4 linked regions of the Lonchura striata genome follow. The protein of the gene in region 1 interacts with the protein of each later gene in a pairwise test. Links are inferred from orthologs where the notes say so. Each region holds a gene or a part of one and is shown on either strand. Other genes may lie near its edges.

What was found.
Region 2: the proteins of HMBOX1 (region 1) and AEBP2 interact in binary tests that used the Homo sapiens proteins (3 or more experiments, as listed by UniProt). The two-hybrid records come from large-scale screens. The link is inferred for Lonchura striata from reciprocal best matches to the Homo sapiens genes HMBOX1 and AEBP2.
Region 3: the proteins of HMBOX1 (region 1) and ABITRAM interact in binary tests that used the Homo sapiens proteins (3 or more experiments, as listed by UniProt). The two-hybrid records come from large-scale screens. The link is inferred for Lonchura striata from reciprocal best matches to the Homo sapiens genes HMBOX1 and ABITRAM.
Region 4: the proteins of HMBOX1 (region 1) and SH2D4A interact in binary tests that used the Homo sapiens proteins (3 or more experiments, as listed by UniProt). The two-hybrid records come from large-scale screens. The link is inferred for Lonchura striata from reciprocal best matches to the Homo sapiens genes HMBOX1 and SH2D4A.

The regions. Positions count from the first base shown.
Region 1 is NC_134605.1:111,909,903-111,917,315, reverse strand, and holds the start of HMBOX1 (homeobox-containing protein 1), read left to right. Parts: upstream 1-4,395; 5' UTR 4,396-4,551; intron 4,552-4,627; exon of another isoform or gene 4,628-4,703; intron 4,704-5,923; exon of another isoform or gene 5,924-5,951; intron 5,952-7,413. Other genes in the region: INTS9 (integrator complex subunit 9), read right to left, coding at 3,918-3,926. UniProt on the Homo sapiens protein: Binds directly to 5'-TTAGGG-3' repeats in telomeric DNA. Associates with the telomerase complex at sites of active telomere processing and positively regulates telomere elongation.
Region 2 is NC_134607.1:8,163,392-8,170,577, reverse strand, and holds the start of AEBP2 (zinc finger protein AEBP2), read left to right. Parts: upstream 1-4,174; 5' UTR 4,175-4,201; coding exon 4,202-4,848; intron 4,849-7,186. UniProt on the Homo sapiens protein: Acts as an accessory subunit for the core Polycomb repressive complex 2 (PRC2), which mediates histone H3K27 (H3K27me3) trimethylation on chromatin leading to transcriptional repression of the affected target gene.
Region 3 is NC_134603.1:61,640,019-61,647,540, reverse strand, and holds the start of ABITRAM (protein Abitram), read right to left. Parts: upstream 3,001-7,522; 5' UTR 2,984-3,000; coding exon 2,929-2,983; intron 2,856-2,928; coding exon 2,804-2,855; intron 670-2,803; coding exon 540-669; intron 1-539. Other genes in the region: SLC39A6 (zinc transporter ZIP6), read right to left, coding at 6,792-6,944, 7,050-7,240. UniProt on the Homo sapiens protein: Actin-binding protein that regulates actin polymerization, filopodia dynamics and increases the branching of proximal dendrites of developing neurons.
Region 4 is NC_134606.1:45,007,617-45,014,533, reverse strand, and holds the start of SH2D4A (SH2 domain-containing protein 4A), read right to left. Parts: upstream 3,004-6,917; 5' UTR 2,670-3,003; intron 1-2,669. Other genes in the region: sulfotransferase 1 family member D1, read left to right, coding at 5,714-6,125, 6,200-6,325, 6,430-6,527, 6,621-6,747, 6,847-6,917. UniProt on the Homo sapiens protein: Inhibits estrogen-induced cell proliferation by competing with PLCG for binding to ESR1, blocking the effect of estrogen on PLCG and repressing estrogen-induced proliferation. May play a role in T-cell development and function.

The sequences.
Region 1 (7,413 bases):
ATCTTGGAGGTCTTTGTCAACCTCAGTGATTCTGTGAACAGTTCATAAACTGCCTTTCCCCCCTTGTTTTTAAACACAGTTCCTTACACACCTAAATAAAATATAAATTCCCATGAATCTGTGTCCCACAGCTGTGTGTGTTCACTGAGATTTCCCCATGTCAGGGTATTAAGGAGCAGATTTTCTTCAGACAGTTTTTCTGATCCCAAGGGTTGAATGGATGGCAAAGCTCTTGCCTCTGATTTAGGACACATGCAGAATATCTTTTTTTCTTGCAATCACCTATTTCCCCAAAAACCCAGGAAATCAGCTTCTTACAAACTCAGCCCCCTGGGAAAACTTGGCTAGAAAATTTGAAAATTACTCGAGTGAGGTGGACAGGGAGACAGAGAAGCCCTGCAGGAACACAATATTTATTTTGGTAAGAAATCTGCCCCAACAACCCCTGCACAGGTGCAGCAGCTCTGGGGCAAGTTCTCACCTGCTTTTTGTCCTGCTAAACACAAACAGGAAACAGGAGGGACTGGGCAGCTCCACCTGAATGGAAGGGTTTGTGTATCCAAATCCCAAAGGCTTTGCAAGCTTAATGAGCCGGTGAGCAGGTGATGTAGGGGGCACTTGAGCATCATTGAGATGCAGCCACCTCCTGTCTGGAGTGACAAACATTTAAATGCTCTGAGGGAGAGCAGAACAGAAAGGTCGGCTTTAAAATGTGGGATTAGAGACAAATGTCTGAGCAGAGCGTGGCCACCTCTGCGGGAGGGTTCCTCTGCTCCGAGGAGGGATTTTGCATCTTCGGTCTCCCAAGTCTGGGCATCTGGCAGCACAGCCACGCTCAGGTGGTCAAACTGGAGCTTTTAACTTCAAGTTTTTGTCAATGAAGATGAAAAATACCGCTTGTTTGGCCGTACACTGCACTAAAAACAGACTAAGTAATTTATCCCTTAAGCTTGTGTTCTATACTTCCCTCTACCAAGTGGAAAAAGGGAGATTAATAATTTCATTTTCTACCTCTGGTCACAATAATGTTAACACAGGACTGCAACTGTCTGGATTAACAACCCTCAAGAAGTCTATTTACATACATTCCTCAAAAACCTGCTTTAAACTCTATTTAAATAGTAAAACTGACTAAGCCTCAAATATTAAATTCAAAATATCACAGAGAGTTTTGCTTTAAATTCACAAAGCCTTAATTATTAAGGAGTTACATTACATTTTGTCTTTTAGTAAAGTTTAAAAAAATATGTAAAGCCAAGCTGCTGAAGGAGTGAGGAATTCACTTGGTTTATTCACAAATGTAACACTCTCATGTGAAATTAAGTTCTCACCAGACCAGAACTTTGACAAATGAAGCTATAAATTGAAGTAAATAGAAAGAAATGAAGGGAAAAATAAGTTCTATTTTTGTAGCTTTTAAACTATTGGTAATTAAAAAAGGCAATGAAATATCACCACTTTTATCAGCAAAATATTTTCTTGCCTTTTTTTGTAATCATGAGTAGTATTACTACCCTGACATCTATGACCTAACTGGAAAATCTTTCTTTTTTCCTTCTTTAAAAGCAGCTAAAGTCATCTCTCTCCGTGGCTGTCTGCTGAGGCAAATGGATTCCTGGGAGTCAATGGATTCTTTCTACCAGATTCAAAGACAGTGACAGAAAAATAAAAAAGGCAATTTGTATTTTCTATACAGCTGTTTGCACAAGTGACATTGCTGGGCCTGCACCCCTGTTAGACTTTTGGATCAGGAATCCAGGAATGGAAGTGTTTGCACAATGTGTGTCTCTATACACATTATAAATGTGATAATTTCCACACAGTTTATACTTGTTACTATTTAAAACAGATCCAGAGCTTTCATATTCCTGACTGGATTAAAATGCAAGTTTTTTATTCCAAGATTTGCTTGCTTCTAGCTTGATTCCCTTATGGCTAAAGGCTGGTGCAGCCAACACACAAAGGTGCCTCATCTCCTAACTCCAAAAGTTAAAAAAAGACACAAAATACGTAAAAGGCATAAATATACCCAGCTCACAGCTTTCCTGGCAGGATTTGCAAATTGGATGAAAGTTTGGCAGTGGGGCAGTGGTTGAGGGGCTGGTTCCAGATGCTCAGGGCCTGGGAGGGGCAGGTTCTCCACACACATCCCATTCCATGTGCATCTCATGGAGAGCAGAGAGATGGTGGCTCAAACTTGCAGCTCCAAAACATTCAGAGTTGTGCAGGTTAAAGGCAGTGCTTGGAACTCCAAGTGAAGCAAACAAATCCTGCAGTGCATTCCTCCAGTATTAGTATCACATGCCAGCTTAAAATCTGGGGGGAAATGAGCACTGAGGATTGCCTGAGTGAAAGCACATTTGAGTTTGTGGGAGTCTGAGGTTTTCACCAGATTCTGAATCAGATCTGCAATCAGAATCCCAGAATGGTTTGGGTTAGAAGGGACCTTGAAGCTCATCTTATCCCAACCCCTCTGCCATGGACAGGGAACATTCCACTAGTCCCTCACCTCTACCCTGTTCTTCCAAATTCAACCCAAATCTATGAGAAAAGAGGATAAAGAGAGGATAAAAAAGAGGACTTGTCTCCTCACAACCCCAAATTCAGACACATCTCCAGAAAAATATAAGGTAAAATACCTTGTCTTATAATTCTCAGTACCTGAATTTAAAAACAATGCTAAAAATGTTGCAATACAGACTCCAGAGTTTGTATTTCCCCTCTCTACCCCTATGCAAGACTCTCAACATTAGAAGAGCTCTCCATTTACAGTGGGGTCTTTAAATAAAGATTTCCCAGTTTGCTTTCTTCCACTGAATTCTATCAGCCTCTACAATCACATCCAGGGGTGCTTGACTTTGCAGTTTTTGTCCCACTGGTAATAGCCATCCCTGCACAGATCCTTATCACACAGGTAAGATTAAGCAGGATCAAACTCCTTGACCACCTGCCTCTGGAATTAATTGTACACACTTCCACGGAGAGTGGTTTCCTAAAGGTCTTAAACCAGAACATTTACTTCTATGAAGCTTTGTTATAACACACTGCTCAGTCTCAAAACCAAGAGACAATCTTAAATTGAGTAATGGTGTCGCTTCAGATTAAATAAATCAAGTGTTGTGCTCAGGTATGTTGAAAACTGCTTGGGTTTTCACCTCCAGACCAAGAAGTGCAGCACATTATGTGTAACTGAAATTCTTCCTGGAAAAAAAATCGGCTCCTGAATCCAAGGTCTCCAAGAATGTGAAACAGCTCAAGAGAGGAGACCAATATCATGGGTCATGTACATTCTGACAGAAGACTGTAATATCAGAACCAAAACCCCTGTCAGAAGCAAGGTGCACCCTTAGCAAAGCTGTTCCAGGCTGATTTTTTTTGTTGTTGTCGTTAGTACCTCCCTGTATTATCACACTGCAGATGGAAAACGTCTTCATCACAAACCACAGGCATTTATTCACGTTCCTCGCAGAGTCCAGCAGAAGCCACACGTGCAAGGGGACAGCTCCGAACCAGACTCATGTTTAAGGCTGGGAAGGCTGAGAAACATTTTCTCCTCCTCTTACTAAGATTTGATCCTATCCAACACCTTAAACTTGGGCAACGCCCCCCCCCCCCCCTTACCCTCCCCACTCAGGGCCGACCCCCGCCTTCCCCCACACCTCAGGGCCGACCCCCGCCCCTCCCTCAGCCCCTCCCCGCCCCACTATCACCCCCTTATCCCTCAGTCCCCCCAACTCCCTCAGCATCTCCTCCCCCACCTTTTCCCTCAGGCCCCACTCCAGCGCCTCAGTTTCCCCTCACGCCCGGCGAGGCTGAGACTGCGCAGCCAGGAGGCGACCGGGGGAGCGCCCCCCCCGCCGCCGGGGGAAGGCCGAGCCCCCTCCCCGCCCTCATGGCCGCCCGCCCCGGGCACTCACCAGCTTCATCGCGTCCACCGGTTCTATTTACCGGGACAACCCTGCCCGCCTTCCTGCCCGCCCGCCCCGCCGGCCCCGGGGCATCATGGGAGTTGTAGTCCCGCCTCCCCATCGTTCTCAGATAACGTCATGGCCGCCCGACGCCTGCTGGGAGTTGTAGTCCGCCCCGAGCGCAGCCCCGCCGCCCCATTGGCGCGCCGCGCGCCCGCGGCTCTCTGGGAGTTGTAGTCCCGGCGCCGCGGGTCTCCCCGTCACCCTGGGGAGGGGGGAACTACAAGTCCCAGGGTCTCACAGCTGCAGCAGGTGGGGGCTCGGATGTTGATATCAACATGGCGCTTGTCAGACAGACAAAGACAGTCGGTCTGGTGTGATTGAGCCAAAAAAAAAAAAAAAAAAGCCCAAAAAAAAAGAGAGGGAGCGGGCGAGGAGGAGGGAGCGGCAGGAGGAGCGCCGGGCGGGGAGGGGGCTGTGTCCTCGGGGGGCGTGGGGGGGCTGAGGGATTTCCTCCCCCCTATTGTTCTCGTCCCTCCGCGCCCCCCGTTAATCTCCCCTCAATCTGGGGCGGGGGCGGGCGGGGGGACCCCCCCAGTTCCGCCGGTCCATGGTGAGGCGGAGGCGCCGGCAGCACCCAGAGGTGAGTGTCGCGGGGGGATACGGGGGGGGAGCGGCGGCGGCGGCGAGGGGAGGGGGCGGGCGGGTGGGTGGGCTGGAGGGAGGCAGGGCAGCGGGAAGGGGTCTCCCCTCCGCCCGCACCGCCGGGAGTCGCGCCGAGCCGGAGAGCGGGATGTGCGTGAGGGGGGCAGCCGGGGGCGGGCAGGGGTGGGCAGGGGCAGCCCCTCAGCACGGGCGGCAGAGTTGGAGCCGCGGCTTTTGGGGGGCTCCGCGGGTGCCCCGGATCGGGGGAGGAGGAGGAGGAGGAGGAAGGTGTCCCCAGGAGGCTGCAGCGGGAGGGCAGGGCGCCTTTGGGGTTCGCTGCTCCTGCCATTTGTATATCTATTCCGATTCCTCCCATCTCCCCGGTGTGGGGCACGGAGTGGCGGCCGCGGAGCCCCCTCAGCCTGGGTGGGTGCTGCGGTTTTGGGGGTGTTTGTTCGGGTGTTGCTCGCCGCGGAGTTTTGGGGTGAGCTGGTGCGACCCCCGGCGCTGTCTGTCCCGGGGACCCCCGGGGACGGCAGGGGAAGGAGGGAGGCTCCGATCGGGGATGGAGCCGGCTACGGAGCCCCCTCGCTCTGCCGGGGAGCTCTGCCCTGGCTGGGGCTGTTCGAGGGCTCCGGGGGCTCCTTTTCGGCTGCTTTTCGGGAGCTTTGTGCCGCTGGAGGTCGGGGAACGGGGCTCAGAGGTGCCCCAAACCCTGCCGTTCCCAGGCTTCGGGAGGTTTTCTGGGAGGGCAAAGGCGTGAAACCCCCGAAAGGTGTCTGTGTGCCGGAGAGTTTAACGTGGGAACGGGTGGGGGAGGAGGAGCACCCGGAGGAAAGTCATTCCCAAAATGTGCGAGGAGAACTTGGGTGGGGTGTCAGACGCTTGTTTGTTTTGTACTTCTTGGGAAGAGGTGGGGAACGGGGGTGGCGGGTGAATGGTTTTGTGTCCCGTGTCCGGGATGGTTTTGGGTCAGCACGGTTTGACCGCAGGAGCGGTCGGGGGGAAGCGGCAGGAAATTCTGCTGGAGTGTTTGCCTCAGCTTCGGGGTTAAAACAAAACAAGATGCGAGTATGTTTAGGTGCCGAATACACACCCGAGCCAGACCCCGCCGAGTTCCTCGACCTCAGTTTTGTCTGATGGGTTCTTTCCTTTCTTTCTTCTTTTTCCTTTCATTTTTTTTTTTTTCCCTAGTTGGTGGAGTGCCTCTTGGTATGTTTGCAGAGCACTCCTTCGGAATCATTTTGTTCTTTGAGATAGGTCTGGAAAAGCCTCGGTTGGACGTGCTGTTTTTTCCCCCAGTTCTTTCGTGTTAGGGACAAAAAAAAAATGCTGTTTGGGGGGTGGGGAAGGAAGAAGGAAGAGGAAATGAAGGTTTAAGCATGTTTGTGGAGTCGGGTCTGTCTCAGTTCAGGTAACTCTGGGAGTGTGATTCGATGGCTTTTAAGTACAAAACGTTTATGAACAAAAAACCGGGGAGATTTAAACTTTGTAGGGAGGAAAGCGTTAAAGTGATGGCCAGGGAACGCGGATCTGGGAGACGCTACTTACGTCCCCTGCTTCTAACTAGTGGAGATAGAGGGAATGAAAAACTAAAACACTGGGGAAAAATACCCCTGCAATTTGTATAAATGATGCCATGTAAAATACCGGAGCTAGGAATTGTGCTCTGCAGACAATTGTTGGGCTGGTGAAAGCCTGAAGTGCCTGCTCTGGTCCCGTGATATGACTCGCTCATTTCTGCAGGGCTCATCAGGTACAGGCTCTGCTTCCTTCCTGGGATGGTGCAGCTGGCATTTGATTTCCTCCGTGGATGGGAAAGGAGGAGTCCTGTGCAGTTTTTTTTTCCCCGAGATGATTGCATTTTCTTTGGCCTTGCTGTACCCTGCCTCATTAGTAGGAACTGCATCTATACTTATTTACCATTATACCGTGTCCCTTGGGAAGCAGGGTGTAGTTTGGAGTAGGTATATATGGATTTATCACTCCTAATATTTTTTTTCCTCCCATCGTGCTAAGACCAAATCCGTCAACAGCAGAGAACAAACTTAATTTATTTCTGTGTTTCGCATCTCCCTTTTTACCATTTCTCTTCCAAATTGCTAAGAAAACATCTCTGAGATGGAGACGGGGGAGAGGGAGGAAAGGGATGGAAAACGTCTGTGCAGGGATGCATTTGTTATTTGCATGTCTGGGAAAGAGCAGGGTTTGTTTCTGTATGTGAAAACTGGGGTTTGGGAATGTTTTTTCCCTTATGTGAGGATTATTCTTTTAGCCCTGTGATGGCCACAACTTTTTCTGTCTGGTTGAAAGAATTACCCGAGGAGCCTGGGAAGGAGGCTGGGAGCAAGGAACTTGTGTTTCACTCCGTGCTGCCTGTTCTTCCTCCCCTCGTTCCCTCAGCACCAGTGCAAGCACCAGAACAGGCATCAGCATTTTTACTCCTGTGTCATCCCACTGTTCCCAGCAGGTCTAGACGACGTTGTGGTATGCAGGCTGCCAGCTGGGTTACAGGAATGCTATCCTAGGTGAAACAGCAGGATTTTTAAGGAGGGGTAAGGAAACCTGGGAGAAAATCTTGTGTGAATGAGGCCTGGTTTTCTCTACAACTGCTTCACTGAGCGGTGTCAAGAAACTCCGTGGGTTTATTGACCTTTCTGGACAACATGCATCTCTCTAGCATTGTGATTCTGATAATTCCATGGAGTCTGTAGCTGCTGTCAGCTGCAGGGAGCTTATTTTTAAGGCAGTTTCTGTGTGGGTCTTACTGATCTCTTACAAAGGGATATTAAAAGTTGATAGCTGTGCAGTGTTTTGAAAATTAAATTATTATAAAGTGTTTACTTTATAGTGATGAATC
Region 2 (7,186 bases), on another chromosome or scaffold:
CTCACTGGAAGCAATGACAGATGGCAGCCTCTTCCTCCAGACCTTGAACTGGGATGGAGAAGGGTGGGGCAGAAAGGAGGGAAGGGTGCAGTTTCCAGAGGCTGCTGAGTAGGCAGAATACTGAGCAAGGTGAGTCATGAGGTGCAGGCAGCAGGAATTTCCTGCACCGCTTAAGAGGTGCATGGGGAGGCAGGGGTTGGAGAAGGGAGCTCAGGGAGCAAATGCTGGGCTTTACAGAATCTCTCCTGGTATCCTAGCAAGTGTAAGACTGGATGGCACCTTTCCTGTACCTCAGGTCTATTTAATTTTTCTTCTCTCTATATAGGCCTTTCTTGCTGTTTTGAAGTGTTTTTCTTGCATACTCTATGACATAGTACTATAATGCTGATCAAAGTTAGGGAAAAAAACCTCAAGAAACCTGCCTTACATACATCTTCTGGTGATCTCACCTAAGTGTCCTTCAAGAAAACCTCACAAAACAGCAAGATTGCTGTGAATCAAGAAAAGAAGAAACTACTTCTCTGGAGTGTTTTTGTTACTGATCCCGCTGTCAGTGTGAATGCCCTGCACCCTGGTGCTCCTGAGGTAAGAGAATAAAATCTTCATTTCTTCTCCCTGCTCTGCTGTGTCTACAAGTTGTTTGTTCTTGAACTAATCGTCCTGCTTGGAATCTTTTGCCTGCGAACAAGCTTCTCCTGGTTTATCTGCCGGCTTTTAAAAATGTATTTTATTATTTTGTACTTTGTTGATTCCTCAAATGTCAGGCACAAATGTCTGAGCTTTAAAGCACCGTTGTAAGGTGATCATACCAAGCTAGACTGAGCACATCAGAGACCCTTTGTGTGAACGACAGTGTAACATCCACCCAAGTGAATGATGTGGTTTTTTCTCCAAAGGATTTCCTAACAGGAGTCTCCTCCTTTGAGCTTTTATCACAGCATTCAAATGTAAATGATTTAGCTGCTTTTGCAAGTTGTGGAATCACCTGTTCTCTGACAGATCTCTTTCAAGAGGTTTGAAAAGTCAAAAAACCTTGGGGGGAAAAAAAGAAATCTAGCTTTGGTAAGCTGTGTGGGTTTGTACCGAGAAAGCTCAGTGAGCAATAATCACTGCTGCTTGCACTTGATTAGGACTTTATTGCAGCACTCAAGAGACGACCTGGACGCAGAATTTTGTGTGTTTGAAAACCTGAGAGCAGGATACTGAGAGATTACTACGGAGTTTTTCTTTGATGCCTGCCTGCTGCAGCAGTGACCCCGTTGGTACTGAGCGCTTGCTTAAATGCCAAGTGATTTCCATCAGGCAATAGAAATGTCCCGAGGTTTCCTTCCCTGACCCTCTTTGAATACACAAATTACCTAACGAGCTGGCGTCTGTACCGCCCCGCTTAGGAGAGCGGAAAGTGGTAGGTCGAATCACCCTGCTCGCTTTCAGTGCCAAACACAGGGAGCCTTTGCGTGCACACAGCACCTCAGGAAACCCAGAGAGACCTGGGAGGGAAGGAAAAAAAAAAGACATTGATTGCCTTGAGCACTCAGCGGAGCCGATCAGGACGATTGACATTAGGGTACATGGAGTTGTGATAACTTTTCTCCCCTTTATCTCATATTCATCGTTTGTGAAAGGCGTCTTTTACGAAGTCCTTGATATATTTTTGGTTTCTCATGACTCGATACCTCCCTGATTCTGTCCCTTGCTGCAGCACAGAACTGCAGAAGGGCATCAGCGGTACTAGAGACATAAGAATTATTTCAGCTACTGCCGTTTCTGGGCTGAATCAGAGGCTGGGGTGTTTTTGAAACGTCACGCTCCGTGTTTGATTAGACCAGTGAGTAACTGCAACACCCACCCGGAGCCCCACGCCTTCCTCCGCGGAGAGCAAAGCACAGCACACGCTGTTACCCGGAGGAAAGGCAGAACAGGGTGCAGAAACTCAGGGTTTGGTGGCTATTTTGCTGCAGTTAGGAGACCTGCAATACACATCTTACACAGATGAGAAACAGCATTGCAGCTGTTGCTTTTGTCTCCCCCCCGCCGTGGTTTTTTTTTTTTGTTTTTGTTTTTTTTTAAACATTCTTAGTATTTCCACTTTCTAGCTGAGGTTGACTTCTAGAAATCTGAGGAATTATCATCACTTTTTCATTGTGGTTGGTTTCCAAAATTTGCTTATGCTCCTCTGCAGGCAAAATATGTTCTTGGTTTGTTTTCAAAGATTAATCCAGTGTTGAGTCCCCAACCCCCTGTTGCTGTTTCAGTGCTGTGCCTCTCTCTTTTGGCTGCTACACCACAGCTTGTTCTTGTTGCTGCTCACAGCTACATCTGTTGATGGGCTGGGAGCCATCTCCATCTATGTAAATGCAGGTTTTCAGAGCACCTTCTCCAGATTTTAATCCTACGCAGTTAACTCTCCTGGAATCCAGGATCTCTGTGGCCATGCCAGGTGTGCCTGCTGTAACTTGAGCTGGTGATCTTCCTCATGTGCAGAAGGCACAATGCTTTTCTGGACTGAGCTGTGGGTCTTTGTTTTTAAACTTAACGACCACGGCTTCATGATTTTTGTGTTAAATGTGGCAAGCTCTGTAAGCATTGGGTAAGGACTGACAGACGCAAGATATTTAAAATTCACATGGAACAGAATTTTATTACCTTTGGCTAATTTACCTGTGATTGAATAGGTGTGAGAGATATTGGTAATATTGGTATGAGAGATTCTCATCTCTCCAATAACTTGTCAAACTACCTGATTATATCTCTGTGTTCAGATTCTACCTTTCTGCTCTACTGCCAATCCCCATCCTATGTACTTTATACTTTATAGTAAACTTGATCCCATTTTACATGATCATTAAATGACCTTAATTTTCAAACTGTTCTGAAGCCCTCTGTGTGATTGACAGTCATCCTGCTGAGATTTCCCCTTTCCCGTTTTATACATCCATAGGTTTAGATTGGGTATTAGGGAGAAATTCTGCTGTGTGAGGATGGTGAGGTCCTAGCAGAGGTTGCCCAGAGAAGCCCCATCCCTGGAAGTGTCCAAGGTGAGGTTGGAAGGGGCTCTGAACAACCTGGTCTGGTGGAAGGTGTCCCTGGGCAGGGCTTTGGAATGAGAAGATCCTTCCAATCCAAACCATCTTGTGATACTTCAGAGTCCCCTTTGGTCACACAGCTTCTCCCCGGGAGCCGGGAAGCCTTTTCCCTGCCAAGGGAGGTTTCAGGCCAGTTCTGGTTCATTCTCGCTGCACAGCGCGGTGTTTCCCACTCCTTTCTGCCAGTGGCGCTGAAACCCTTTCCCCGTCTCCTTCCTGGCTCTGCCGAGCCGTGCCGGGGCACTCCTGCCCGGCTGGCTCCTCAGCGCGCCGCAGCTCTTCCCGAGGAACCTCGGCTCCCCCGTTCCGGGCGCTCCGTGTCCCGCTTACCCCCGCGGAGACCGTGAGGGGACCCGCAGTGCCCGTGAGGGGACCCGCAGTGCCCGTGAGGGGACCCGCAGTGCCCGTGAGGGGCCCGCAGTGCCCGTGAGGGGCCCGCAGTGCCCGTGAGGGGCCCGCAGTGCCCGGTGCCACCGGATCGCTGCCGCCCCGCCCTCCGCCGCGGCCACCCTGCTCCGGCTCCGCTCCTTCTGCAGCGCCAGCCGGGAATGTCCCTGCCCGGCTCTGGGGTGCTGCTGCTAGCGCCGGGGTTTGTCCCGGAGCGAGGCGGGGCAACCGCGAGCGCTTCGCTCCCGGCTCCCGGCCCGTCCCGCGGCACTCCCCCGCTGTCCATGGAGTCCGGGGACTGGGATCGCGCCATTCCAGCAAGTCGCCGGGATGCCCGGGGGTTTCGAACGGGATTCCCGGCAGACTCCAGCGGGGATCCCTGGGGGATTCACGCTGGCATCCCCGGCAGACTCCAGACGGGATCCCGCAGCGCGCCCGCCACCGCCCCTTCGCACCGGGGGCGGCGGTGGCCGCCGCCGCTCCGCCCTCCGCGCGTTGTTTGTCCCCCGGCGCGCTCCGTAGCGCGTGCGGCGGCGGCGGCACGAGCCGGGCCCCGCCCCTCCCCGGCGGTGCGGGTGCGCGAGGAGGGCGAAGGAAGGAGGGGGGGAGGAAGCGGCGGCGGGAGCGTGCGGCGGGCGCGCGGGCGCGCACGGGGCCGCGCGCGCACGCCCCCGCCGCGCGCACGCCCGCGGCCGGCCCCGCGCGCGCGGCAGCGACTCGCAGGCGCCATGGCGGCCGCTCGCTGCAGCGACATGGCGGAGCCCCAGCGGCGCCTTCCCGGGCAGGCGGCGCCCGCCGAGGAGGAGGAGGAGGCGGAGGTGGCGGCGGCGGCGGCGGAGGTGGAGGCCGCCGGTGGGGCTGGATCCTCCTCGTCGTCGCCGCCGCCGGCACCGCCTTCGGCCGCGGCGGAGCCGGAGCCGCTGCTCCTGCTGAACGGCGAGGCGGAGAGCATGTCGGAGCCGAGCCCGGAGAGCGCCAGCCAGGCCGGGGACGGGGAGGACGAGGACGAGGAGGAGGAAGAGGAGGAGGAGGAGGGCGGTGAGGAGGAGGAGAGCAGCCTGGTGGGCAGCAGCAGCAGCACGAGCAGTGGCTGCTGCAGCGACGAGACCCGCTCGCCGAGCCCCGGCGGCGGCAGCGAGGCCGACGCCAAGGAGGAGCCCAAGGGCCCCCGGGGCAGCCAGGAGGACGGGCCGGGCCGCGGCGGGGGCGGCAGCAGCTCCAGCAGCGTGTCCAGCGGCGGCGACGAGGGATACGGCACCGGCCCCGGCACGGGCGGCGGCAGCAGCTGCGGCAGCGCCACGTCGGGGGGCCGGCGGGGCAGCCTGGAGATGTCCTCGGACGGGGAGCCCCTCAGCCGCATGGACTCGGAGGACAGGTCAGTGGCCGGCCGCGTCTCCGCCTCGGCAGCCCCCGCTGCCCGGGCGCCGCCCCGCTCCCGGCCGCGGGGCTGTCACGGCAGCCACAGGTTTCTCCGGCCAACTTGTGCCGGACCCCCGCCCATGCTCCTCGGGCCTCCCCGGTTGCCCGGCCCTGGCCGCGGAGGAGGGGGCGCGCCCCGGCCATCGCCGCCGCTCCCCGAGAGCCCCGAGCGACCCCGCCGGGCGCTGCCTCCTCCTCGGCTTCCTCCGGGGCCTCTTGGCTCGGAAGCTGCGGATTTTTCTCAGATAGTGCTTTCGGGGTTCTTCAAGGCTGTGTCTTGCGGCAGCGCGCAGATGGGGTGTACTGGAGCTTCGGGATGGGAAATGCATTTCTGGATACGGTTTTACCTGCGCCCACAGCAGGGTCTCTGCTCTAGAGGGAGAAAACCGAGTGATGAAAGCCTCTTAAAACATAAGGGAAAAAAAACAAAAACGAGTTTACTCGGGAGACCAGCCTTTCCTGCATTACGTGTGCGCAAGTAATAGTCATGCACGGTGTGAAGTGAGGTTCAGTATTTGGAGGCTCAGAGTCATCTTTGAATGAGTTCTGTAATTCTGAATTTCAGAATCTGTAAGGATGAGTTCTTAAGCTGTTGTACGTTAAAGCTGCACATTTCATTTTACCAAGATTCTAGCTGGGTTCTGGTGAAAAGGCACAACCGAATTCTCACACATGGTTGAATTCTACCATTCAGATCTGTTTCAGCCTACTGAGTCAAGCATTTCAAAGAACATGGCTTATGTAGTAGCTCTCCTCGATGTTGGATGCAACAGTTTACTTGAAAAACTGAAAATATGGTGGAAAAAGGACATAAAAACAGTGTGAAAGTGCTGTGTGCCCCTTGCTAATTAGTCCTTTCAAATAGTTTAAGAAACTTGCACAATTTTTCCTTGTGTTTAGCAGAAAAAGTATCAGACTTCCCTGCTGGAGTTCCAGTTAAGTAACAATTAGAATTTTATTTGTATTTTCTTAAGGTAGTTTTGCTGTTAAGTTTGGAGAATTACGTGGTTTGGTCCAGAAATGGACTTTGAATATATGTTAGATCAAAATCTTTGTAACTATACAAGTACCCGTATTTCAGCATGACTAGACCTAACCTCGAAGATTAAAACCAGCCCAGCAAACTCCTCGTGAGTCAGTTCCCCAAAACCATGTAATTGGCCTAAAAATCTTAAGAAGACAGAAAAAAAATTCAGGTCTTTGGTTTCCATCAGACTTTTGAGACTCATAGAAATCACGTTTTCTTTCTTCTTAACTTACGCGAGTGGAAGGGGGGTGCGGATGTTTGGGCTTGTTTGTAGGGTTTGTTCGTTTACTGTTTTTTTCAGAAGCTGAGATTTTATGTGCAATTGACTAAGTATGGGTGTAGATTTCTCGAAAATCACCAGGTGCATAAAGGAACACTAAGATAACAGTTTCTTATTTTTCATAGAGTGGAAGTCCAAATCTAATCCTGATTTTATCCAAGTGCCTGTCGGGGTTGAGGAAATAACAGAAGTAACTTGCAGGGGTTTTCTGGAAGTAGCGTCATTATGCCCTGTGCCCTCCAGAGCTGGTTGCTACTTTCTTTCTCTGTCATTGTTCTCGTGGTCCTCTTGCTGTACGTGGTTAAATCCACGTCTGTGGGTCCTTGCTCCTTCCCTTTACCACCAGGAGTGGGACTCTTTGTTTTTAGTGGTTTAAATAAGGACTGTGCCTTGTTTTCAATCTTTGCAAAGTTTTATCTTGACCTGACAGGGTGAAAACTTGGGGTGTTGAGAGTGCATTTTGTACTGTAATTCCAGGGCCTGAAAGCAATGCTACCGAGAGTGACATTTGTTATTCCTGGGGTTGGAAAATTTTGTTTGGTGTGTACTGCTTGCTGCAGCATGTTAGAATGCTTTATTATTTTTGTGACATGTAGTCCAGCAAGTTGCTTGCTTGATATTGTGGTCCAAATGATTGCTGCTGCTTGGAAGGCAGCCACAGCAAAATCCTGTGCCTTTCAGATGATCACACAGACAAGCAGAGTGTTGCAAAAGGTAGGAGATGTGCTGAAGAGTTAGAGTGTGTAAACTGGAATATTGAAACACCGAGGAAGAGCTGGAAACAGTTCAGATTTAATATATTGAAATCCTGAAAGAATAAATAATTCGTTGTTTTGGTCACCTCTGAATTAAAATGTAAGTTCTGTGACTATTAGAAAACCATATTTTGTCTATTAAGTGTTATTTTATATGGGGTAGTTTATTAAGTACAGTACTTCATGACCTTTGCTGACTCCCTGTGTCTCCAAAGTCCTGAGGAGCTTGGTG
Region 3 (7,522 bases), on another chromosome or scaffold:
TAGAAGGGAAGATGCCAACTTAGTTATGTGCACAAATCAAATAAAAGCTTGTTACAAGCTTACAGATTTAGATTTAATTAATTTCTTGCAGACTAGCAAACTTGTGTTCTTATGAGACTGAAGTCAGAGGAGAGAGGAGAGGAACAGCACCTTTCATTTTGGTGTTTGCTTACTTAAAGTGTACCTTCAAAAACCCACCACACTGAACTGGCCCATCTATATCTAGTCTCCAAATCCTTTACATCTTCTTGGAAATAAGTTTTTATTATTTCAGGGATGTTTATGTCCCTCTGTACACTACCAAAAAAGTGTGTTTGAACAGCATTGGAAACCACCAGTGCTGTAGGAGCACTGCAAGACCCTTGCTGGGACAGGCAGACAGGCACCTCTTGAGGAAGTCTAAATTCTTCAAGTGCAGAGGGGCTGGTTTTAAATGAAATACAAAAGTAACCTGCTGGGTTTCTATCCAAGAAAAGACAGAAAGATCTCAGGGAGTGTGAGAGATTAAAATCAAAACTAAGGAAATCAAAAAGCCATACCCTTTTTGACTTTCCAGAGACCTTATTCTGAAGTCTGCTACAGTTTGCACTGATTTGGTAATTAATGTTTTTAATTGTTTTCCCACTTTGAAGAAGAGGGTGGGCTTCTGCTAAGGTGATGACACAGATTCTGAAAAAAAAAAAAACAACAGAACACCACAATTATTCCACTGTAGTTGTAAGCCACAGCTTTGTGCTCTAAGCAAGTCCCACAACCTTCTCTGCCTATCTTACTTGACACCTGCCCTACCAAACTGAACAAAAATGGCATTCTGTCCTAAAGCCACTCCCATGGAAAATGTTTCATTTTGAGATACTGGACTGGACTGTCAAAAGCCCTACACTTCTTACTGAAACAAAACCACTGCTTTTAAATAAGCCAGTGCTGTAAGCCATCTGTTATACCCCATGAGAGCATGGTTGGTTCATTTCAGCCAGTAGCTGAAGTAGGTACTTGGGATAAGACAAGAAAAGCATGGTGTACTTCTGTCACAAAATGTAACAGAAAACAGGGTTTCTCAACAGCTAAAAGCCCTTTGTGGTGAACAGCTGAGTAATCTTTCCATGACCTGGGCCTTAGTTAACTTGCTGCTTGCACTTAATTTTTTATTAAAGGAGGTTATTTCTTACCATGACATGGGACAGTTTGAGATGAGCCCAGCTGAAGAGACTAGGCCTGCCTGGCCTAGAACCATGCCTAATGCACAAGCATGAACTTGCCAGTAAATTAAGAGAGTGGAAGCTCTTCTGTTTGAGAGTATAAAACCTACAGGAAGCACCAGAATCAAAAGAAGAGTGACTGCAGAGAAAACCAGGGCACAGAACCAGATCGCTCCCTGTGGATGCTGTATCCATCTCCTCACACTCCTGGGGAGTTCTGGCTGCAGAGCTCCCACAAGAGGGAGCTGGATCCTGGAGAACGTATCCAGCATGTCCTAGCAGCAAAGCTACTTCCTTCACCCCAGCCTCCTTCTAAGAGGAAGATGACAAATTATCTTTGAGCTGTCACCTGATGAAGCTGAGACCTCGTAAAACAAAACATCAAGAGACAACTTCACACTGCCTAGGAACAGCAAACAGAGCCACAGCCCCACACATAATAATGGTAAAATACTTTACAGAACTGGCTAAGCTGCTGTGGAACCCAAGGGTCCTGATATTTCAGAATTCAAAGTAGCAGAACAGTCTTCACAGACAATTGAACAAATCAGTGGGATTTAAACTACTGTTTATACCAGACACCCGAGATTAGTAACCTTATATTTAGTATTCAGTACAAATGGAAGGATGTCCTACCTTGCTGTTACTGTCACACCTGTTATTTGAAGGTACACTAATTTCCCTTTTGGAAGAACTGAGGAAGAACTGCAGGAAACAGCCACAGAGAAGCTCCAACTCCAAAGGCTGCAGTGAGGTGATGGTTCTGCCCTGTGCCACGCATACCTTCCTTTTACTCTAAATTCCTAGAGCCGGCAACTCACTGGGAACACAAATACTGCCTCACCTTTCCTCAACCCATGAGCCACTGGCCCTGCTAGTTTTTGCATGGACAGTAGTTAGGTTCTGTTCTCTCTGAGACTGAGCACTCCAGAAATGCACCCGATGCCCTAATGGGCTGCAGCAGGGGGAGGTAAGGTATGGAAGGAGATTCCACATCAGGTACAGGTTGATTTACTCATATTTACTGATATCCAGCTACATCCAAGCAAAAGCAAGACACTTTTCCTATCTTGCCTTCACTGTCGGTTACTGCACAAGAAAAAGCAATTAAGTTTTATCTAGAAAAAGATGAACGTTTGTTCAAACTGAAGGATTTCTAAATCAAGTTAAACAGACTCCTTCAAAATGTCATTAGGGAAAGGCCTTTTGGAACGTTTCTCTTCTGCTACTGATGATCACAGAATCAATTAGGTTAGAAAAGTCCAGCCGACGACCGAACACCACCGTGCCAAGTACAGCACGGCACTGAGCACCACGTCCAGTGTTTCCATGAACACCCCCAGGGATGGTGTACGGGGCCCTTTCGCAGGAGGGAGCAAGGGAGCGAGGGCAGCACCGCGGACACTGCTGGGCAGTACGGGGGGTGTGGGGGCCGGCGGGGGGAAGAGGCCAAGGCTCCTGCTTCTCACTGGAGCAGTAATGAAAGGACGGGGAGGCCGATTTGCCCGGTGCTGTGTCCCAGGCCAACCCTCTCGTGTCCCGGCTGCCGCAGCCACCGCGGCTCTCTCCGGGCGCAGCCCGACTCGGCAGCCGCCGCCACTCGCCTGTTGGAGTGCTGCAGCACGCAGAAGTCCTCGCACGGCCGCCCCTTCACGTCTGCAAGAAGGGCACAGAGAGGAGTCAGGGCCCCGCCGCCACCCCGGCCCGGCCCGGCCCGGCCCGGCGGTACCTGGCTTGTACCAGCGGGTGAAGTACCGCTCGGCGCCGCCCGGCCCCGCAGCCATGCCCGGCCCGGCGCCGCCCGCCCCGGCGCGCCAAGATGACGGCGGGGGCGGCCCCGGCGGCGCCCGCCCCGCCCCGGCAGCGGCGGCCCCGCCCCGGCGGCGCCCGCCCCGCCCCGGCGGCGCCCGGCCCGCCCCGCCCCGGCGGCGCCCGGCCCGCCCCGGCAGCGCCCGCCCCGCCCCGCCCCGACGGCGCCCGGCCCGCCCCGCCCCGGCGGCGCCCGCCCCGCCCCGCCCCGGCGGCGCCCGGCAGCGCCCGGCCCCGCCCCGCCCCGCCCCGGCAGCGGCGGCCCCGCCCCGGCAGCGCCCGGCCCGCCCCGGCGGCGCCCGCCCCGCCCCGCCCCGGCGGCGCCCGCCCCGCCCCGCCCCGGCGGCGCCCGGCCCGCCCCGCCCCGGCAGCGCCCGCCCCGCCCCGGCGGCGCCCGCCCCGCCCCGGCAGCGCCCGCCCCGCCCCGGCGGCGCCCGGCCCGCCCCGCCCCGGCGGCGCCCGCCCCGCCCCGCACGGGAAACCCTGAGCAGAGCAGTTCGACCTCTTGGCACTACCTGGTTTTGTTCTTCTTTCTTTTCTCTCGAGGCTCTTACATATTTCACCGTACCTGCATCACTGAGAAAAACGCTCAGACGCCGGCGGCTTGGTTCAGTGGTTTATTTTCTCTAGCACACAGCAATACAGTAACAGCTACAGCAACCATATAGACACACACCAAAAACGTACTTTAAATTAAAAAAAACCCAAACAACCAAGAAAAACAATCCACATTCCATTAAAACATCTTTTTGTTTTCTGCTCATGGAAAACAGAACGACCCTGTTTTTCCACAGAGATTTTAACTGCAGTGGTGTCTCAGTTCAGGCAGCAGGAGAGCCTCCGTGAATTCTCTTCCAGCCTTTGAATTCACAGCCTGGGCTGTGCTTTATATAAACATAAAAGAGCTGTATTCCCACAACACACATGGCATCACATTTAGGCACAAAGGATGCACAGAAACTGTACCAGCACCTGATCCCCACAGGCCAGGCAGGGGAGAACCTGGAGAACCTCCACACCTTTGACTCCTGCTGCCCAAAGTAACACGACACCTCTTCTGTACAAATACAGGCCAAAACCATTAGAAGAATATGTTACAGAAAAAAACCCAAACCAAGATTGATTCCAGCATTGTTTGCCTATTCTGTTTACCCGCATCTAGCACAAGCAATAAGGCAGCTGTAACAGCATAAAAATTAAGGTCTGTACCATTATTAAGCTACAGATGGATACACAGACACTTGCATTTAGTATCCAGTGTAGCCAAGCACATTAAAAACTGCTGCAGAAAAATATGCACATAAAAATAAAGGGCTACTTAGAGGCTCTGCCCCACCAGTTTGCCAAACCTTGAGTATTTCCAACAACAGTAGTTTGCAACAGACGCATACTCTACTTTGTAAGGCCAACAAAGACAAACAACAACAAAACCAACCAACTCAAAACACAAAAAAATAATAACCTACATTTTATCATCCTGCTGATACAAAACTACATCAAGTTTTAGTCTGCCACCTTCTCAGTTATCAGTTTGGACAGCTGCCTGTCATGGATGTTTCTCCATCAATGATTAAAGAACAATGCATGGGTGACATATGCTTGTGTATAGGGTAGAGACATTAATGCCCACATGCTCTAAAAGCAAATAATTATTTTGATTCTTAAATTAGCAATGGGTTTTGATATGTGGATATTTTAATGTCAGTCAAGTACATCAAACGCCAGCTAAGAATCCACTGGAAACACTGAAATTTGTAGATTTTTCTCCATCATTTAGTCATTAATCATAAAATCTCTAGAACAGTAGGTTACCTGCACACTTCCTGTGACATATCCAGATAAGAGAAATCCAGCTGAACTGGCAGCTATTATGGCTGTAGGCTAACAGAAACCAACAGTGAAAAATTCAAAGCAAACTGAGCTCGTTCAAGTCTGAAATCCCCCAGGACAACAGATTTCTGTAGCAGCCAGGATTGCAGTGCAGAAAGTGGATGAAGTGCACTGTATTTATGGAGTTTTCCCACACCACAGGTAAACACCATGCCTAAGCCCTAAAAAGCCCGCTAGGACACAGGGATGCATTTGGAGAGCTGAAGGAAGTACACCTTTCTCAAGCCCTAGCTTCAAAGGAGGCACAGAACAGGATTTCATCACTGTGAGCAGAAAAGTAAGTATCAATCTTGCTAACCTGAGGAAAGACTGAAGGAGGAGGAAAAGGTAATAGTCCATTGGCTGCAAAAATTCATGTGGTACTGATTTCTCAACTCTTAAAAGACCCTAAAACCTCTCAATTAATTGAAAATATCTATTTCTGAGGTGACAGAATGGTTCTTGGCTTTCATTGTATGAGAGACCAACAAACTGTTTTAGCCTGTCATACACAGTATTATCAAACATTTCTCTTGTTGTTTAAGTTTTTTATTCAGCTGATGATTTGGAGCAGTGGATCAGAAATAGGTTCTAATCGTTTTATTTCTGGGATTTTTAAAGCTAGCTAGTAAGATAGCATAATTCTGTTATTTATTCACCATTAAACAACTTTGACATGTTCACCTTCCCTGCAAATGCAGAATTTATTTTGCCATTGGTTTTTTCAACCTTCCTCCTTCAGTGACATTCAGGATGGTTAAACATATTAAGACTGTAGGCTTAAACTACATACTTAAGTATACACTTATTATCTTTAACACCTTGCTTCTCTAGACATGCTACCAAAGAAATTTCCTTATTTTGGATTTCTCGGCTTTAGTTCCTGCAAAAAATATTGCACAGGTTTGTGTGCAATCACACTGAACTAGAAGTAGGCAGCTCTCCCACTCAGCTCACTTTCCCGAAGTAAATCAACACTTTACTTCAGGAAGCTTTTGTAGGAAATGACTGTTTATCTCAGCCTGTAGCACTCCTCCCCCTTGATATCAAAGAGGCTTTAATACACCTTTGTCACTTCAGGCAGTGTAAGTGGGATACAGCACTGCTTTTAAAGTCTTTTTGATGGAATTCACATATCTTAAAGCTTTAGCAATTTAGGAGCTGGACTTTTGTTACGGATTTGAGAAACCAGTGAAGAGCAACTCCTTTTAGAATGGATGAAACAAGTGAAACATATGATGTAACACTTGGTTTTACATCAATTAGTTTGGCGCAGAAACCAACTGGAATATGACATAGGAATCCACAAGCTACTGAGAGAACCAGCACCACCACAAAGGACAGAATGAACTTATCTGCCATCCCGGATACACCAGCTGGATGCAGAAGAGACGAGTTTTTACCAATAAACACATGCTAACCATTATATGTCTTGTTCTTGTTTTACTTTGCTCACTGTGTTTTGTATCCACTGATTTTAATTGTGCTAAAATAAAAACCACTGTTGTTTTACCTCTTTAAACCAGCAAAACCACTGAAGTCAAAAACATCACTTATAATTACATACAGTAAATAAATTCAGTAAAAAAACAAACCTAAACCCCCAAACAATAGACAATAAAAATAATACAGATTTGGCCATGTTTTACTAAGTACCACTTTTCAAGTACCATAAGCAATGCTAAATCCCAAGTAGAAAAAACACAATTAAAAACAAACAAAACCCCAACAAACCCCAAACTTTACGGTATTCCTTTCTATCAGGCAAGAAGGGAGGGAAGTACACAACAACAAAGCACACCAACAAAAATATCTAGCCTATATCAAATGTACCTTTCCAATAAGGAAATTTGTAGAAAAAAAAACCCCTACCACTTATAATTTAACACCAAGGTGTCTTCCTGGCAACCAGGATTACAAATTTATGCTGAATACAATCTTATGTTCAAATACTGAGATAAGCAGCATTATCCCAAAACCCAGGAGAATCCCAGCATTCTGTAACAGGAAGTATCCCCACCGGCTACATCCATGGTCACTGGCATCATTGTGGAGCATTTCAGGTACCTAAAAAAACAAAAAGGTGTTAAATGCCTTCAAAAGAAACAGTTGCTTCAAATCATTAATTCTTAAGCTGTGTCTTACAAAATTCAAATAGGTCTAGGCACTTACCATATCCACAAGAGCCACATACATGAACAAGCCAGCAGTAAGTGCAAATATCCACATTGAAACGTTGTCTGCATAATGGCCAATAAGGATCCCAGTGGCCATACCAAGATAGGCCAGCATAGCTGACAGAGCGTTATAAAGCACAGCTTGCTTCACAGTCATACCAGCTTTTAGAAGGACAGCAAAATCTCCTGTAACAGGGGAAAAAAGAAACAAAATGAAGTTTTCATTCTTGGGTAAGTACTGCAGTGTTGTCTTATTTACAGTTCTCTTACTTACAGGATTACTAAACTACTTTTATGCTGTTGTTTGACTTATTTTTTTTTCCTTCATAAAATCAGAAATCACTGAGGGACAGAAACTTAAAGGGTGCACATGAACAACACAGCAGCAGATACTGTAAGTTTGTAACATTTAAGTCTTTGCATTTTTGAAAGAAGAAGCTTTTTGCTGAATCACCGACTTGGAAAGGA
Region 4 (6,917 bases), on another chromosome or scaffold:
ATGTACTGGATTCTGCGTAAGGCTAGCATATAATGCTTAAAGAACAAAACCAATGAAGTCACCACAGCATAAACTACTTTGAAATTACCTATAGCTGAACTGACTTGCCCTATAGGTCCCTGATATTGCTGGAGGGGGCAGCAGTTATCTTGTAGCAGGTAAGAATGGGTGGTAATGACAAGAAGGAAAAATAATTTGATTTAGCAACAGCCACTGAACACAGTCTGAGACTGCAGGGCTCTATTTTCAAGGAAAATGTATCTTCCCTGCTAGAATAATGTGCAAACATTTATTGGATCATCTCCCTGTATCAAAATCACTGAGAGAATTAACAGTGTGGTGAAAAGGGTGAGAGCTTCTCTAGGTTAACTCACAGGATCAGATACTCAACCAAACTCAGTCAGTGTAAAAAATGAGATTTCTCTAACCATATAATTTGATTTACTGTTCTGCACAGAAACAGGTGCTGGGTGGTAAATCCCAGAGGCAGCACCCCGAGGCACAATCTTGGGCTATTAAGTCTTACTTAAGTTACTACTTGGCTTAAGTTGTTACTGGCGCATGGTGGTCTTTTTGTAGGGGGAGATGCCTGAGCTGGGGTGTGGTTTTTACTATTATAAGGAGCAAAAGTTCATCCCTAGGGCAAGTTCACAGTACAGAACCAGTCAAAACTGGGGATTTTTTTAGTTCATCATTACACATTCTGGACTAGAAGAGTGTTATCTTTCTGTGTTTTCCCCGTTCAAGAACTTAGGTCATAAATTTTCTCTCTTCCACATTCCTGTGACTGTTGCTTTCATTGCTTAACCACTTTGTTCTTTACCTTGTTTGGAACTTCACTCCCATTATTCATCAAGGTGGTAAGAGGAAAGCTAATGTCTTTACAATTTGATGAGTGACAGTACTGGTATTAACATATTTGAAACGGGTCTTAATGTCTGTACTAACTTTGGGCAGCAGGTTTGTTGCAGAGACCAGACAGCTTAGCTCCTGAAACAAACAAGTGGGTCTGTACAAACCTCAATTTCTCAACTTTGGGGAAAAATGGTAGGTACAAGGGGGAATATGTGGTAGGCAGTTTGGGAAGGCTGTACCTTCCGAGTACCTCAGCCAATGGAGAAAGGAAGAGGGCAACCTGCAGCTGGGAGTTGAGGACGGATGCTGTGCCCTCCGAAACCTTGAGCGAGAAAACCCCGCGAGCTTGTGTGAGGGCCTCTCTCCCTTTATTCAAATAAAGTTGCAGGACTCCTCTGTCTCTCCTGTATCGACATAAACTTCTGTCGTTTGTGGATTTTCCTGACAGTGGGATCCAGTACTGGGGCACCTGTGGGGAATCCCACTGGAGGCTGAAGGTCCAGTTGCATTGGTCCAAGAAGTTTAGTCCATCTTTAGACAACGTACAATTATGTCTTTTCATATTTAAGTTACGATAGTGATTGATTTGTGGCCCTGTCAAAAACCAAGATCATTTGAAAAAGCACAAGCAGTAACGAGCCGGAGCAGAAATGAACTGGAGCCACAACCAAACACGGAAACAAACGGGAGCTGCAAATAAGCTGAAGCCGGAAAGAAGCCGGGGAAAGTGAACCAAATTGGAGCCTAAAACATGCTGGAGGCACGAACAAATACTATGAGCTGAACCTGAGACCAACTGGGGACAGAAACAAACCACCTGGAGCTGCAAATGAGGTGCAGCAGAAACTAAAGAGAGCCTGTCCCGAGCTGGAATCCCGAAGGAGCGGCAGCCGCCAGCTCCGCGCAGCTCCTCCGCAGGCGCGGCCCCTCAGAGGCTCCGCGCCCGCGCCGCGCACTGCCCCGCGCCGGGCGCCGCCTGGCGGGCGCGGCGCAGCAGCGCAGCCCCGGCGGCGGCAGCGAGCCGCGGCTCTGGCCGTGCGCTGCAGCAAGGCTGCGAGAGGACAACGCTGCACACCCACTCCTGGGAGACAGCTCCGCGAGGGACGCCGTTAGGAACGTGAATCCACGATGTCAGAGGCTTGTGTCCAAAAGAGGGACAGAGGAGTCGCGTGGCTTTATTTGAATAGAGGGAGAGGCCCATGGCAATTTCCCATCGGGTCTCCCAGATTGTTGGGGGACTCAGCCCCCTTTTTGTCCTAAGTTCCTGGCCGCATCACCCTCTTCCTCCTTCCCGATGGCTGAGTTACTTGGAAGGTACAGACTTCCCAAATTGCCTCCTCTATGCCCCCCTCTGATACGCAGGCCCCTTTTGTTATGTAAAATAAAGAAGTAAAGGTATTAAGTCTTTGTTCCTTTTCTCTAGGTTCAGGAATTTAACATGGCCTTGGCTAAGCAACATTCCGTGTTGATTAGTAACATTTTTTAGAACTAATAGTTTCTTCTGTTACTTCCCTATCTGTAAGTTCCTAGCTCTATCTACAAGCAGATTGAGGTCTGTTTCTAAAGACACATTTGTCTTATTCCTTTCGGACACCATGCCTGGCATGGATACCGGAGCTAGAATAAGGACACTGTAGTTTGAATGTAACATTATAGCTGAAATAAGGACACAGTAGTTTGAATATGACACCATAGCTGGGATATCACATTCCCAAACATGCCCCGAACATGGCAGAAACACCCTCCCACCCCCACCTTCAACCCATGGATTAACCAGCCACAGCCATAAGGAATTTGTCAAAAAACATTTTTACCGCTGAAATCACTTGAGGCAGAAAACAAGTTTTCCATGGCTGGAAAGGTCTCATGGAAGAGTCTCACGTCTCCACCCAAACATGTCCCACTCCACGGCCCTCTGGCCACAGGCGCTTCCATGTCCCCTGTGCCAGTCACACTTCTCCGTATGCCCCACTCCAGACAAGCACCTTTCCATGCTGGCCCTGGCCATATCACCCTGAGCCACCGGGGGCCACACGTCCTCCCCCAGGCGTGTCCAGCCCATCTCGCACGCAGCCATCCCGGGACGGGAGCAGGAGCAGGGAGGGACAAGGCCACGGCTCCCGGGGGGACGCGCCGGGGCAGCGCCCCCGCCTCGGCCGAGCCCCGCGCCCTTTCCCCGCCCACCGCCCTCCGCCCGCCAATCAGCTCTCGCTGCCCGCCAGCCTTGGCCAATCGCGACGCGCGGCCCGCACCCCGCCCCGGTGCCCCGCCCCGCCGCCAGGGCCGCTCCGTCCGAGGCGGCGCCGCCGCTTCCGGCGCGCGGGGCCGCCACGGTGCGCGCCTGGCGCCGCTGGCGCCGGTGGCCCCGCCCCCTGCCGCGTGCTGTCCGCGCGCTCCTTCGGGACCCGCCGGCACCGGCCCCGCGGCCCCGCAGCGCCTCCGCCGCAAGCAGCAGCCGCTGGCCGTGGCCAGGTACGCCGGGACATCCCCCCCGCGGGAATCTCCTTCCGGGGTGGCTGGGCGCGGTGCGACACCGCCACCGTGTGCCGTCCGTGTCCCTGGGATCCCCGCAGCCGTGATACGCCCTTTGTTTGATGGGCGGGCTCTTGGGCTTTGCCTGGCCCCAGGGCTGGGACACCTCTTGACTGTGGGACACCTTCCATTCCTGAGGAGAGCGTGTGGCAGCCCCCCTTTCGGGGGACAGGGCTCGGCGAGAACCCCAGGACCATGCCCCCCACTCCCCCATTCATGGGATCCTCCCTTTCTGGGGATCCTGGGACACTGTTCCCCCAACAGAGAGGTCACTGTCCCGGGATGAGGTGGGGGTCCTTAACACGAGGGTCCCCCGTTTCTCTTCCAGGCAAGTGGCCTCCCAGTGTCAACTGCTTCAGTCATCCTTGGAGCGCCCGTCCTCCCCACAACTTCCCCAGCTACCCGATGAGCCGATGTCACTCCAAGATGCTCCAGGGGGTCTTTTCCAGATGCCCCCTGGAGACCCATTCCCTGAGCGGGTGACAGTAGTCTGGTTATCGGTGCTGGCCCTTGCCTTCGCCTTGGTTTGTGAACCTCAGGAGAATCTGTCGTTGGCTGAGATCACCCTGCGGCGCCTGGCTCCCCGCCTGCTCCTCTCCCTGCGCCTCCTTGGCCCTGGCGCTGATGTCCTGCTCCGTCCAGATGCCGCTGATGGCCTCCTGGACCGTGTCCTGCCCCATGGGCAGATCCTTTTTCTCAATGAACGTTTCCTCCGGGCAGTGGACTGAGAGCTGGTTATCAAAGCATCCCGCTGGGCTACAGATAGCATTCCTGCCTACCACCCCCAGATATTTTTGAGGGATGAGAAACAAGGGAGGGATCTGAGATGGTCACCAAGCCCCACTGGGATGGATGAGAAACATAGTTCAGGAATAAAGAGCAATGAGCCAGCTAAGAGCAGGGTTTTGATCCATTTATCCCCCAAACAGCATAATGGGAGAGCTAATAGCCATCCCCATAAATCCACCTGTCACAGGTCCAGACCCCAAAGTGCTTTCCCTTGTAACTGCACTTGTAAAGCTGGAGCACTTGAGGAGGGGTGCTGGGCACGGGGCTTCAGCCATGATAGGTTTCTGGCTGTGTCGGGGGATCTCACTGTGTGCTGGAGCTGTGGGGGCATTGCAGCCCACTGTGGCATCCCACCCTTAAGGGGAAGGGAGCACTGTCTTCACCTTCCCATGTGATGGCAGCTGTCACCCACAACTAGCTTGAATACAACCAAGAGCCAAAGAGATGTTATCCTGGAGCATTTCAATGGTGCTAGCAATTAATTGTTGATGAGAGTCAGCTGGAATCTGAATGTATGAGCCATTATTGTATCTGCACTGATAGGATTCCAGTTGCTGGATTTCAGTATCACCTAGTTTATGGCCAAAATTCTCTTGCAAATCAACCACCTGAATTGGATCAAATGGGATAGTTACTTGTGTGTGATTGTCCTCTCCACCATGAGGTCTAGCAGATTCAGGGGAAGTTGAAGGAGGTAAAGAATCATCTTTTCCCAGTTCTCTGTTTTGGGGATTGCCCTGTATGTTTCCATCCCATGTAAGTCTGCCAGACTTTTCCTGGAACTTTGGCCACCATATATAGCACCGTTTTGGTAGCAGTTTGCCAACCCTGTCCATCATCTGTATTTCAATTTTAAGTAAAGATCATGATGTTATTTCCTCATCATCAGATGAAAATGTTGCATGTATTTTTTTGTCAGGGTAACAGACACGTTTACTCTCTTCCATCTTCCTCATTGGATACAGAAGGCCAGAGTAGTGAGTCTGTATTTCTGCAGATGGTCCAGATGCTCTGTCCCGCACTGGTGCCTCCTTTCCCAGAGACCCCATCTGCCTGGGCCAGGCACCACTTGGCTTCTGCTTCTCCTCGATCTCCTGGAGCAAAAGCAGCACCTGCTCCATCATGGTGGGTTCCTGTACTGTACAACCTGCTGGATCAGATCATCCAGGATGGAGCAGATCAGCTTATTCATCCCTTTCCTACAAGAGGCATCAAAGGAGCACTCAGGAGGGCAGAGAGGGGGGCTACCCTTGCTAGCAGCACCCTCAGCCAGGTCCATAGCTGTGCTCCGTAGCTGAGCCATCTCTCATTAACCTTTACAGCTTGGGTGTGGCAGGAGGGTGGAGGTGCCAGGGCTCATGGCCACCAGAGCACATGGAATCCTGAGAGGTATGGCTGCCTGCAATGGGGGCCCTGGGTGGAAGAGCTGTCTCTGTACCTCCACAACCCCGTGGCACTCATTAAAGGGGCTATAGCTGGGGGAGAAGTTCAGCCATGTGGGAGGAGAGGTGATGCTGGGCTCCATTCCCAGCCCCTCATGGCTTGGGCTTGGTGCATAGCCAGCATCCACATTACCAAAGTATCCTACCAGGGATCAGGGCACACTCCCGTGGCTCTGGCAATACCTCTGTCACATGTGATTTGGGCTGGACTTCGCCTGATGGGGCACTGCCCCAAGCACAGTCTTGGCACAGGATCCAGTACTACTCCAGGCACAGTCCTGGCACAGGTGCCAGCCAGTTCAGAGGTTGTGAAGGCTACCAGCAGGGAAGACAGCCAGTGCTGTGTAGACCCACTGTCAGCCATGGAGCAGGAAGATGCAATCAGGCAGGAGCTGGGAAGCCTTCATGGCATTCCCCTCTACAAGAGCTTCATCGAGGGCTGGCCTCAGGTGAAGGCTTTCCAAGCACGTCCAGATGACCTGCTCATCTCCACTTACCCCAAATCAGGTGAGTGGTCCTGGGGAAGGGTGCCAGGGGCATGGGGTGACACCAGCCTCTGCAATGCTGTCCCTCTGTGGCAGGCACAACGTGGCTGAGCGAGATCATGGACATGATCTACCACAATGGCGATGTGGAGAAGTGCCGACGGGATGCCATCTACAACCGTGTGCCCTTCTTGGAGTTGAAGGTCTCCAAGAGTCTGTGTGGTGAGCTTCCCCAGCCTGGCTGCCTGGCTTGGGTAGAGAGGGAACTGAGCCAGCATGAGGGTGCGGGTGCTGGGGCTCAAACATCTAAGTCCCCTGTGCCACAGGTGTTGATCAGCTGGAGAACACCCCATCCCCGCGGCTGGTAAAGACCCATCTCCCAGTCCAGCTCCTCCCAACCTCCTTCTGGGAGAAGGACTGCAAGGTAACATGGCAGGTGCTCCCTGTCTCCCCATCTGGGTTGGTGGGAAGGAGGCACTACTCTGTACCTCCCAAACACATCCTTGGCTCTCTCCAGATTATCTACATGGCCCGCAACCCCAAGGATGTTGTCATCTCGTACTACTACTTCCACCAGATGGCCAAGATACACCACGACCCTGGCACAAAGGCTGAGTTCTTGGAGAACTTCATGGCCGGCAAAGGTGTGAGCTGAGCCACAGCATGCCCACCCTGCCATGCCAGTGGGAAGGACATCCCCCGCTACCCCTCTTTTCAGCTAATCCCTTGACCATATCCCACAGTGCCCTACGGATCCTGGTATGACCACGTGCGTGGATGGTGGGAGAAGAAGCGGGAGAAGAAGATACTCTAC